Rattus norvegicus: one gene and its partners. The protein of the gene in region 1 binds, or shares a complex with, the protein of each later gene. Links are inferred from orthologs where the notes say so. Each region holds a gene or a part of one and is shown on either strand. Other genes may lie near its edges.

What was found.
Region 2: Ush1c (region 1) and Anks4b share a complex: the UniProt entries of both Homo sapiens proteins name them as parts of the IMAC/intermicrovillar adhesion complex. The link is inferred for Rattus norvegicus from reciprocal best matches to the Homo sapiens genes USH1C and ANKS4B.
Region 3: the proteins of Ush1c (region 1) and Myo7a are in contact, whole or in part, in a crystal structure (PDB 5MV9), measured with the Homo sapiens proteins. The link is inferred for Rattus norvegicus from reciprocal best matches to the Homo sapiens genes USH1C and MYO7A. Residues at the interface, in NP_001284693.1 of Homo sapiens: Glu450, Pro456, Ile457, Val461, Val462, Ser463, Tyr466, Glu467, Lys479, Gly480, Pro522, Tyr526, Asp527, Asp528, Glu529, Leu530, Thr531, Phe532, Phe533; in NP_000251.3 of Homo sapiens: Phe1946, Val1953, Ala1976, Lys1995, Lys1996, Trp1998, Gln2017, Pro2020, Lys2021, Arg2024, Tyr2026, Ser2112, Ala2113, Phe2114, Phe2115, Glu2116, Val2117, Lys2118, Ile2128, Ser2161, Gly2163, Asn2164, Thr2165, Tyr2166, His2168, Leu2181, Glu2183, Thr2184, Ser2185, Leu2186.

What each region holds. Positions count from the first base shown.
Region 1 is NC_086019.1:105,831,151-105,835,090, forward strand, and holds the end of Ush1c (harmonin), read right to left. Parts: intron 3,703-3,940; coding exon 3,593-3,702; intron 2,494-3,592; coding exon 2,438-2,493; intron 2,058-2,437; coding exon of another isoform or gene 1,949-2,057; intron 963-1,948; coding exon 950-962; coding exon of another isoform or gene 885-949; 3' UTR 573-884; downstream 1-572. UniProt on the Homo sapiens protein: Anchoring/scaffolding protein that is a part of the functional network formed by USH1C, USH1G, CDH23 and MYO7A that mediates mechanotransduction in cochlear hair cells. Required for normal development and maintenance of cochlear hair cell bundles.
Region 2 is NC_086019.1:183,977,360-183,981,613, forward strand, and holds the start of Anks4b (ankyrin repeat and SAM domain-containing protein 4B), read left to right. Parts: upstream 1-1,442; 5' UTR 1,443-1,463; coding exon 1,464-1,627; intron 1,628-4,254. UniProt on the Homo sapiens protein: As part of the intermicrovillar adhesion complex/IMAC plays a role in epithelial brush border differentiation, controlling microvilli organization and length. Plays a role in assembly of the complex.
Region 3 is NC_086019.1:161,776,839-161,780,418, reverse strand, and holds part of Myo7a (unconventional myosin-VIIa), read left to right. Parts: intron 1-46; coding exon 47-250; intron 251-472; coding exon 473-649; intron 650-1,126; coding exon 1,127-1,216; intron 1,217-2,117; coding exon 2,118-2,245; intron 2,246-3,580. UniProt on the Homo sapiens protein: Myosins are actin-based motor molecules with ATPase activity. Unconventional myosins serve in intracellular movements. Their highly divergent tails bind to membranous compartments, which are then moved relative to actin filaments.

The DNA of each region.
Region 1 (3,940 bases):
AAAACACCGCCTGGTCCAGTCCCCTTGGACTTCCAGCTTCGGCTGTCGCCTGGGATCTGCCCTAAGCCCTACTTTATACACGCCATCTATCAGGATCTTTCTGATTCTCGCAGACAAGAATCTGATCAGTGCTGCGTATTTTGGGTTTGATTTGGGATAACAACTCTCTCCAGGGACTATCCGAGAGGTCCTGTCTTGTCTCTACTGATACCCTCTTTTCTCTTCCCTAAGGTTCTGCTGGGTTATATTCTGTGCAGGGGTGCACCTTATCCTCCTCCCCCATCCTGGGAACCTCAGGAAACACAGCATAGTTTCCGATAACAGCTGGGCCACTCTACGCCTCCAGGTGCCCCTTTGAGAGAATAGGGCCAAACCCTGCTACACACCTTCATGTCTCTCCTCTCTGCCAGCGACACCCTGAAACCCAGCTTGGGTCCTGCTACCTCCTGAGCTCTGAGCCAACCCTGGGTATCGGTCCTCTGTGTAGCATGTTTAGATCACAGCTGTGGGGCCACAACCTTCCGGTTTTCCACTTAACTGCTATCCACACACATTCGTCCTCAGAGGCTGGAGACGGAGTCAGTGTATTTATTAGTGAGTTCACCATCAGGTTTCCAGCAGGGATTACAGTAGGAGGGAGTGCAATAGGGAGGTGCAGGACCTGGGCGCCCTTAGGTCTCAAGAAAGGAATATTCTAGAGCAGGTACGGCCAACTTAGAGCTGGAAGAAATGGGAGTGGAATCCCACAGACCACTCCAGAACAGCAGTTGGTCCTTGCTCCACCTTTTGCTGGCTTTCAGAGGAGGGGCCAGGTCACAGGGCTTCGGGGGACAGTTTCCAGGGAGATTTTCTACACCTGGTGACTGGTGTCTCTCAGGCTGACTTCAGGGGCTGGGTGCCGAGCTTGCCAGCTTCCAGGATGGGTCTGGCTGGCTTCTGTCTCTGGACTTTAAAAGAAGGTTCTGTGGAGAGGAGGAAACAGATGGGGTAGACAGGACGTGTATATGGCCCTCTGTTCATGGCTGGCCCCACCGTAGCAGCACAAAGCCCTTCCAGCCTTCAGGGGCTCCCTCTCAGTTCAGCCCTGAGTAGAAACACACCAGCCACAGCACCCAGGAAGTCAGGGAGGAAGACAAAGGGGTGTCGGTATAGGAAGGGGGACGGGAGCAGCAGGAAAGGCAGGAATCGCTTGTTAAGAAGAGCAAGCAGCGACAGAGCAGACATTGAGGGCCATGGTAGCCAGGTCCACTGTTGTGGTTCATGAAGCATGATCATGACCAATAGTTTGGAAAAATTGTGACAGAAAGAAAGCAGCCATGTTTGGAGCTATGCTGGTTGTGGTCATTGGGCCACAATCAACTCCAGTGTCACAGCCACCAAACCCAAGACACAGATAGGGAAGCACTCCAAAACTTGGCTCCCTGGCACAGCAGAGGGAGCCCAGATCAAGGCGGGATGGAGACCAAGGAGAATGAGGGCTGAGCAGGGGAGCCCGCCAACCCTGGTTCTTTGGACCAGCTTGAGGAGGTTGAATGGCATGGCTCTGCCTGAGCAGGGCGTGGGGATCCTGCAGGGGTTCTGGTGGGAAATAGGTCCCTGTGAGGAGATTCAGGAGGCTTTAGTGTTCTTCAGCCTTGTCCAGCAGTGGGGAGACACTGTTGTTCTCAGTGCTGCCCTGCTCCAACCAGGTTCTGAGTGTGACCCAAAGCGGGTCCCAGGACCCGTGGGCATCAGGACTCTCAGGTCCTAAGCCAGTGCCCCCAGCTGGTCTTTGTGTACCCCCATAAGCTCTAGAGTCTCAGCCATTGACAGCAGCCCCAAGAGAGGCATTCCTGCAGGCCGCCTCTGTCTTCCTCTAGACACCAGTCCAAAGAACCTGCCAGGGTCATGGGCAGCACATGACACACAGCGTGGGCAGACAGGGCCCCGAGGCTGCCTGCCTAGTCACCGTGGGCTCCAGCTGCAGGAAAAACCCGTGTCTACACACGGGCTCATAGGCTTCAAGCTGCTTTCGGACCGGCTGGGGGCTTTCGGCTGCAGAGGAGGGAAGAGAGGAGCTACACATGCAGGGTGGAGCAGGAGACAAGAGGGAGGGCCCAGTTACTGCTGGGGGAGGCTCGGCAGGCTCTCACCCTGCACTGAGTGTCTGTCTCTTCAGTACTGCCTAGGCCCTGGTTCTGCTATAGACACTATAGAATTCTCAAGCTATATGGAATGAGCCACTCTAGGCAGCTGAGGATGGGCCAATGACTGTGAGCCAACACTACTCAGGCCCATGACTCTGGTCCAGGGTATCTCTAGCCCAGGGTGTTCTTGGCCCCATGACTACCAGCAGATGTGTGACCAGGATACCCCTTTCACTGGGTGAGACTGAAGAAAGGTGGCTAGGATCCTGGGAGGGAATGGGGTGCAAGGGCAGGTGCCTGTTCACACTTACAGTTCATCATCGTATTCCTTGGGGGGACAGACGGCAACCACAAGGTCTATCCAGTCCTGTAGGGAGAAACCGTGTGACCGCATAGGACACACGGAGAAGCATGTGATGGATCTGCCTGGTGTTCTGTTTCACTCCTGGGCATCGTAGCCCAGGGCTAGCTAGGGCACAGTGAGGGCTAGGGCTCCCTTATGGAGACCCACACTCTAGGAAAGCGCTCCCCCTGGAAGCGGCCCTGCTAGACCCTCAGACGTTACCAAGCTCCCAATTGTGGATCTATAGACCAGGGCTGGGGCAGCCACTTGAGGATCATTTACGAACTCACAGCCGTACCCCTTATAGTCTCGAGTACCACTGACAAGCAGCACCCCTACCCCTGAGCCATAGCAAACACGGGCTCGCTTGGCCTCTCTGATCTTGACAGTCCCCTCGATGGCATCTCCACCGTTGTTGGCTTGCCCATCACTGTCCACCCTGGCTTTGGCTGGCAAATTTTGAAAGAGCACCAATCCCCAACCCCATGCCAAAGCTCCTAAGATTGAGCTGAACTCTCCCCGCCCTGTAACCTCCCTCCATCCACTGAAGGAGCACAGAACACAGCCGCTCCCTCTGTCCTAATCCAGCCATTCAGATCACCAAAGACGATCATCGTGTTACCCGTTGGTCTTCTCTTCTCCACATCCTGTCATGTGGGTCCCAGGCCCATCTGGTCAGCTTCCTCGGCACTGAACTTAATACCTCAGGCTCAGCTGCCTGCACACAGTGGCACAGGTTGTGCACTGCACAGCGCGAGTGGGTAGCATCTACATTACAGTCTGTAGGAGGGCACCCCCTTCAGACTGTGCAGTGCACATCCCGAGAGACTCCATGTGGGAGCCCTGGTCCGTGTGGGTATCTGCTAAGCATGGAGCAGGCTACATCCACGCTTGCATCTGCCCTCTGGGCTGTTCACTCTCTAGCAGCCCCCAGTACCCTTTTGATTCTTCCTTAGCACACACACACTTAAGAGAAGACCTTGGAGGTTTTTTTCCCCCCATCTCCAGCTTTTCAGGTCCAATCCACTGTCTGGACCTTGGGTACCAGCCCTGGACTTGGCCATGCCATTGTAAGACCAGGGTCTGAGGCAGGTGGTGAGGGAAAAGAGGGGCTCGCTCTCACCCCGCCCTGATTCCAGGCCTTCTGCAGGGCAGCCTCAGCCTCAGCCAGGGTGTAGTCCGTCACGATCTTGCCGTTGATGGCCATGATCTCATCCCCTTTCACAACGCCACCTTCAGGAAGAAGCAGACAGGTGTTCACCTGGACCACTTGTGACCTGTGCCTGGTTCAGGGGTCTCTGTGGCTCATTACTGTGGGGCAGTGGAAGGGGCCACACCCTGGGCTCCTGAAAGCTCTTGAAAGGCAAAATAGGCCCAGTTCCTCAAAGGGCCCTCCTGCAGGTCCTCTCTAGGCTCTCTAGAGCCATTAAACCACAGAGGAGTCCTTGGCATCCCCTAATCTGCACAGTGC
Region 2 (4,254 bases), about 78 Mb from region 1:
CAATCCTCTCCTCTGACTATTCTGAAGTACACAACACACCAGTCAACCCTAGTTTCCTACTGTTCTATAAAACACTACAAGTTCAATTTGGCAATTCCTTAAAGCTAAATAGAAATTACAACAAAACCCAGAAATTCCACACCTTGCTATATGCCCAAGAGATGTAAAAATATATGTTTACACAGGAACATCTATGTGACTGTTCTTAATAACATTTTTCATCATTAACTTAATGGACACAACCTAAACATCCAACCAGTATGAGAATTAAATGATAAAGGGTATTTGATATGCTAGTATAGAAGAATATTATTCAACAATTTAAAAAATCCTTCAAAACATATTCCTTTTAAATAAAGGCCACAAAACTATGTCACAGGATTCCAGTGACATAAAGTGCTCACAATTGCAGCTATATAGAGAGAAAATTGATTCATGGTTTCCTAGGGTTGGGAGTAGGAATTAGTTGCTAACAAACACAAAGGATATCTTTTAAAAGTTCTGTTGTTACATTTATTCATTTTTCTATGTGGTATGGGAGAGTCTGAGTTGGAGTGGGTTGAGGAATGGTTTTAGTGTGGAGAAAACATTGCAAAACTGAGTTTACAAGAGGGCAATTGGCATGTGTTTGAATTTACCAGTCTGACAAAACTAGAATTTAATAAACTCATTGACAAAAAAAGACCACCTACATGAAATAGTGCTGTACATGAATGGGATCTGTTGAAGCTGTCCACAGCAATCTCCACCATGCAAATGAGGGTAGCCTTGATTGGCTGATATTTGATTTCCAGAGGATACTGGGTTCACATGGTATAGCCTGTGGTTATACTTGGTTTAGATTGGCCTTCCTTATTTATATCATTCTACACTGGAAAGTGGTGAAGCTTTCTAGACCAAACTTTTTTATTTTTTTATTTTTTTTTGTGGGAGTTCCTGGAGAACCACCTGTTTGTCTTCCAGCCTGCCATCAGCCTTCTGTCCTCCACTGTTATGGTAAAGATTTCACAGCTGTGAATTTACCCAGATCTTTGATTTTATATTTCAAATGGTTAAATTCAACTTGTACAGACTATACCTGTAAAAATCTACTAAAACACTCCTTCTCCCATACCAGTGAACTTAACCAGTTTTGAGTTTTTTGATTATTTCCCATATTCTGTACCTAGGTGGTCAGTATCACATCTGACACTTGTTAATGGGCACAGTAAAGATTAAATGTGCTTCATCACATGCATGAGAGACACCAGAGGCCTCAATGTTCATTGTTATGGTTGGTCTTAAAAGTAAAGGTCCAAGTCCAGGACTGTAGGCCTTCTGGATGCCTTCCAAGAAGCGAGGGTGAAGTGAGCTTTGGCCTGGAGTAATACTCCCTGTCACTGATTAACCAGCCCCGTTGGAAGACTTGTGTGACCAGCACTGCCTAGACAAAGACACCTGGACAAGCTCTGGTGGGCAGAAAAATGTCTACCCGCTATCACCAAGCAGCAAGTGACAGCTACCTGGAACTTCTGAAGGAGGCCACTAAGCGTGATCTAAATCTCTCAGATGAGGATGGCATGACACCCACTCTCCTGGCAGCCTACCACGGCAACCTTGAGGCCCTAGAAATAATCTGCAGTAGAGGGTGAGTGATCCCTGTTAGGGCATCCTGGGTGGGGAATGCCACTCTGGCAGTGAGAGACAGAGATGTCCACATAGACATTTTGCTTCTTTGTAGGTCCTCTAAGTAGTTGGCTTTTAGAGAAAGAAAGACTAAGCTAGGTATGGTTTCTTTCCCTGTGAAACAGCCATTTAGAAGTCACTCAGGCAGAGGTGGGTAGGGTGTGGATTGTAACTATATGCCCTGAAAATCACCTCCATTGAATTTAAATGGTTAACTCTTTAAAAGGAGGTCACCATGCTTATTGGTTCAGTGATCTTCCTTGGTTAGGACATGGCTTTATTTTACTTTTCCAATCTTGTCACTAAAATCTATCTTTACAAGTACTCAGCCTTGATGTAAACTCCTGGTTCTTCTGGCTTTGCCATCTATAACATGAGTCTTCAGTCCATCTTTACACACACACACACACACACACACACACACACACACACACCCCATCCCTTAGCTTTAGATTCCAGTCTTTGCTAACTCTTTTATTCTGCTCACCCTGCTCATTGCCAGAGAGCTAGTCAGGGTAGGCAGTTACACTTAGATGGAGAGAAATGGAGCAAAAGAGGAGTTTGGGTGAGTGAGAAGAGTGGGGGGAAGAGGGAGAGGTAAAGAGTAAGGGAGTCAAATGACTCCAGTACAGTGCATATTTAGCATCTGGTAGGTGACAGTCCACCTCTCCCCCTTCTCTCCCCTTCTTCTGCTTTCTCTTTCTTCCACTCCCTCCTCTTCTGATTTTTCTTCTCATATATTTTTGGTGCTGTCCAGATGGTCCCTATCAACAAAACATCCTGGTGCTCTTGTGGCACTCAGATCTGAGAGGGGAAGCCAAGCAAGCAGCTTATGGTAGATGTGACAAAGTCTGTTCCAGGGAAGGGAAATTAAGCTAGTAGAGAAAGACGGGGAGCTGATCAAGGCTGAGGGAAGTGCTTTCCCCCTAAGGCAGAGAGCACTGTGCATTCCAAGGGTAGAAGACGTTGAGTTTGGCTGGACATGACTTGCACAGGAACAGACCTAAGCCATAAGACTGGACTATCAGGGGCCTTGAGACTTCTGTTCAGGACTTGAATCTCCTCCTGAGAGCCTAGAAACCACACCCTCTATTTACAGAGGAAGCAGTCACATAGATTTATGCTTATGAATATCGTTCTGGCGATTGTACATTAGTCACAGAGAATGTCTAGGGACGTTCAAGGTAAAAGTGAACTAACATGGTATCACTGGGTGTGAGTAGACACGGAGCTTTGAGTGACAGTTTGGATGTCAGATAGTGATTGGATGTGGCAAGTAAAGGAGGAGGAGGGTCAACATCTGTTTGGATTAAACAGATTGTAGATATGGACACCTCATTGAGTTGGGGAACATGTCAGAAAGAGCACGCCTACTCTCTATACCAAATCTTCTGAAACTTTATTCAAGATAGGTCTTTCTTCTTTTGAGTTAATGTCTCAATTTTGTTATAGCAATTAAATACATAACACACTTAATTTAATTTATAAGGATACCTTAATATTATAATCAGCAAATTTATTTCTTAGTTTATCCCCCTGTTTGATACATAATTCTTTTTTTCTAGTTTGCAGTGTTGTGGTGATTATTCCTCCACATAAGTCCTTGTCCATATTTTTTTCCCCGAGTGTAAATTCTCAGAACTGAAGTTTTTGGGTCAGTTGCCTGCACTTGTGCTATGATCACAAAATGCCTCGGGCAAAGTAATTTACAGAGGATAAAACTTATTCTATAGTTTTAAGAGCAGCCAGGAAGTCTAAGATCAAGTTGGCAAGAAGTTCAGTGCAGGGAGAGATCTTTCCATGCTGGCTCCTTATTGCTGCCACATCTGGGGTGAGGGGGACAGGGACGGAGCCCTCACATAGTAGGAGAGAGAAGATGCACGCGAACAAAATTCTGGAAAAGCAAGTTCCTTTCTTTGACAAGGAACCCCTTTACATGGTGAAGGCGGGGTTCCTGGTGAGGATGAAAACGCCAATGCTGAGCTGCCATGCACTTTCGTCTTTGTGAGCTGCGTGTCTGTAACATTGCCCCACTTTTATATGTCTATATAAAAGTGTGTGTGTCTGTGTCTATGTGTGTGTGTATGTGTCTGTGTGTGTCTGTGTGTGTGTGTAAGTATGTCTATGTGTGTATATATGTGTATGTGTGTATGTGTAAGTATGTCTATGTGTGTGTAAGTATGCCTATGTGTGTGTGTGTGTATGTGTGTATGTATGTGTCTGTGTGTGTATGTGTGTGTGTGTAAGTATGTCTATGTGTGTGTAAGTATGCCTATGTGTGTGTGTGTGTATGTGTGTATGTGTAAGTATGTCTATGTGTGTGTGTAAGTATGTCAATGTGTGTGTGTATGTCTATGTCTGTGTGTGTGTGTCTGTGTGTGTGTGTGTGTGTATGTATGTGTCTGTGTGTGTATGTGTGTATGTGTGTGTGTCTGTGTGTGTATGTGTCTGTGTGTGTATGTGTGTGTGTGTAAGTATGTCTATGTGTGTGTAAGTATGCCTATGTGTGTGTATGTCTATGTCTATGTGTGTATATATGTGTCTGTGTGTGTATGTGTGTGTGTAAGTATGTCTATGTGTGTGTGTAAG
Region 3 (3,580 bases), about 56 Mb from region 1:
AGGGCCCGGCCTAACAGTTAAGACACAACTCCTCTCTGCCCATCAGGACCTGGAGCGAGGGCGGAGGGAGATGGTGGAAGAGGATGTCGATGCTGCCCTGCCCCTGCCTGACGAGGATGAGGAGGACCTTTCTGAGTACAAATTCGCCAAATTTGCTGCCACCTACTTCCAGGGCACAACCACACACTCCTACACCCGGAGGCCCCTCAAGCAGCCACTGCTCTACCACGATGATGAGGGTGACCAGCTGGTGAGGACACCTGCGGCTGGATCATGGCTCACAGGGCCAGGATGGGGTGGTGGATGCCACACTTGTCAAGTCAAGGCTGGGCTTTGGCCTGGCACCCAACCTGGGGTCAGCACATTTGTGGTGGCTGTCTATCTCTCCAGCCTCCTCTCCAAGGCTCTCTCTATGGCATGAACCACTTCCTCCGTGCTCCCCGGCTCTCTAACATGTGTACTCCACCCTCAGGCGGCACTGGCTGTCTGGATCACCATCCTCCGGTTCATGGGGGACCTCCCAGAGCCCAAGTACCACACAGCCATGAGCGATGGCAGTGAGAAGATCCCTGTGATGACTAAGATCTATGAGACCCTGGGCAAGAAGACATACAAGAGGGAGCTGCAGGCCCTGCAGGGCGAGGGCGAGGTGAGGCCACAGGGCCCCAACTGACAACTGTCTTGGGCTAGTGGGGATGATGTCAGCATGCAGCCTCAGGTAACCAGCAGAAAGCATCCTGTGGTCTAGCTCTCTCCACCTCATCCCCGCCCCAGTCCCCTACCATTCTCTGTCTACTTGGGATAATGTGTGATCATTTGCCAACTGTAAAATTCTCACCATAACTGAGGGGCCACACTGCAGACCAGACAGACTTTGCCATGGGAGACACCTCCAGAGACGCCTCACTGGGAGGCCTCAGACATTAACTATGATTTTCCGAGTCTCAGCAGAGTTGAGGATAGAGGGTGACCTCGTGGCCTTCACCTTGTGAGCATCTGTGTGGAATTCTCACACACAAACACACACACACACACACACACACACACACACACACACACACACCCCACACCACACCACGCCATAGCCCCTCTGTCTAGAGGTCTCATCCCTGTGACTATTTCACAGGCCCAGCTCTCTGAGGGGCAGAAGAAGACCAGTGTGAAACACAAGTTGGTACACTTGACACTGAAGAAGAAGTCCAAACTCACAGAAGAGGTAAGGGCTTCCTTAGGCAGCCAAGTTGCAGCACAGCTGAGCTGAGGGCCCTGGGAATAGGAGTAGGAGGAGAAGCAGATGATGCTTCTCTCTTCTGCACAGCACAGCATTGGAGCAACCACCAGACAGAAGTGTATAGAAGCACCTGGGGGAGGGGCTTCCCAGGGTGGGGCCAAGCACACACGTGAAAAGGAGGGCACTTCTGGCTGATGCATACACCATGAATTTCAACCCAGGACCTCTCAGCCTGGGAGCAGACTTCTCTGTAGTCTTTCTGAGTATTGGCACCACCACCCATCAGTCCATCTCTCAGCGTCTGAGACTGCCAAGGCCTTGTACACAGGGCTGTGTAGGCTGGGGGGGGGGGGCTGGAACAGACAGGCATGGGTTCAGATGCTATGAGACCCTCGCGTGGCCCTTTCTGTCTATGATGGAGGATCTCTTGCTGCATTTGAGTGCAATGTGGGGCTGCTTCTGTGGCTGCGTGAGGCCGAAAGAGAGACACACATCTACTGAGAATGGAGGGTGGCCATGCCAGGGCCAGGAGCCTTGCTAATTAGGTGCTTGTGAACCAGGCTGTACTTCGGTGTGAGATGGTGCTCTCACTCAGTCAGGGATGGGACATATCCTGGCTGTAAGGGTTTCCCTTGGGTGGGATTGAGGTACAGAGGGCCACAGAGAACTTACCCACGATGCAGGTGGCACCGAGCTGGTGCTCCCAGCCATGCGATGTGGTTATTAGTCTTTAAGAATGGAGCGATGACAAGCTCGTGGGCCATCCATTTGTCCCTTACTCTCTGCAGTAGCTGGCAGGGACAGCACCCCATCTATGACGCTATCTGCTCCCCGTGAGGAGCCTAGCAGGTGCAGCACCCCAGCCTCGCCTGTGTCCTTGTCCTAGGTGACCAAGAGGCTGCATGATGGGGAGTCCATGGTACAGGGCAACAGCATGCTGGAGGACCGGCCCACCTCAAATCTAGAGAAGCTGCACTTCATCATTGGCAACGGTATCCTGCGACCTGCACTGCGGTCAGTACCCACGGGGCAGTGGGACGCTGGGGCTGGGCTTCTCTAGGCGAGCCTGGGGGTCTCAGGGCAGCTGGCAGCGGCCCCAGCACCTTAGCCACAGTGGAAGCAAAAAGGGCCCGTGTTAGCTCTGTGGCTGGAGGTCATGAGACCCTAACCCGTCTCCTAAGGCATCTCTCTGTGCCTCATCTGGAAAGGTACCCACATGTGAGAGCTGAGGGAAGGCAGAACTGTGAGACAGTGGATGGAGCTAGCAGACTGTAACCTGCAGCTCATGGTTCTCATGGCCCCTCCTGAGCTTTCTGATTTAAACCCACTGCAGCTAGCTCACCCTCGGTGCGGTTGGCCCAGGCTAGCGGCTAGGTTTTTCTATTCCTAGAGACCCTGCTATTGTTTCCATCCCCGGGTCAGGACAAGCCTCTACCGATGGCCTGGGTGTTGGAGACTTGGTGGGAAGACTCTGGAGTCACCTATACAATTAGCCCAGACAGATGCGGGGACCTGGGCTTCTCGGGGAACTGGCTTATGTGACCATAGGTAGAGACTTGGGATGCCAAGAGCTTGTGTTTATATTGGGCGTGTGGGCAAGAGACAAGTTCCATCTTCCCAATGGGGAAACTGAGGCCCAGCATTAGGAAGAGACTTTCCACGGGTTATTTGGACTTCTAGACCACCTACCTATCACTCTCACCTCTCTCCATTGTTCTTCAAGGCCAATTGAGCTACTTGAGCCAGACGCCACCCAGGGCCACCAGAAGGGAGAGATGGCCACAGGTTATCTGTCTGCCACATCCGAAGTAGACTTCAGGAGTCTTGTGCCAGGAGCCCCAGGCCACAGAAGGCTAGAAAGTGGACTCCCTTCTCTGGCTTAGCCACTTCCACCTCTGTTGGTTGAGTGGGGCCAGATGGGAGGGTCCAGCACAGGGTTCCCACTGATCTGTGGCAAATCTGACATCGATGAGCTGTGCTAGCCTCGATTACAGGCCTGATTGTTGTGGGAGGGCTGCTTGTCTGCTTTGGGTGTTTTAAATGACCCTTGTTCTGTGAGATGATTTGGGTCATGGGCAAGATGTGTGAGCATGTGTGATGCATGTGATAAAAAGATGACAACTTTAATTTTATTGGCTCATGAACTCTCCCAATTAAGAAGAAGTTACTGAATTAGACAATCCTGCCTCTTACCTGACACTGTCCTCAGAGAAGAGGAGTACCACATCATTGTGTGTGTGTGTGTGTGTGTGTGTGTGTGTGTGTGTGTGTGTGTGTGTGTGTCTGTCCCCTGGGTGGTTAAGCCCTCTTGGAGCTCCCAAGACCAAGAAAATGCTGTTAAGAGAAGAT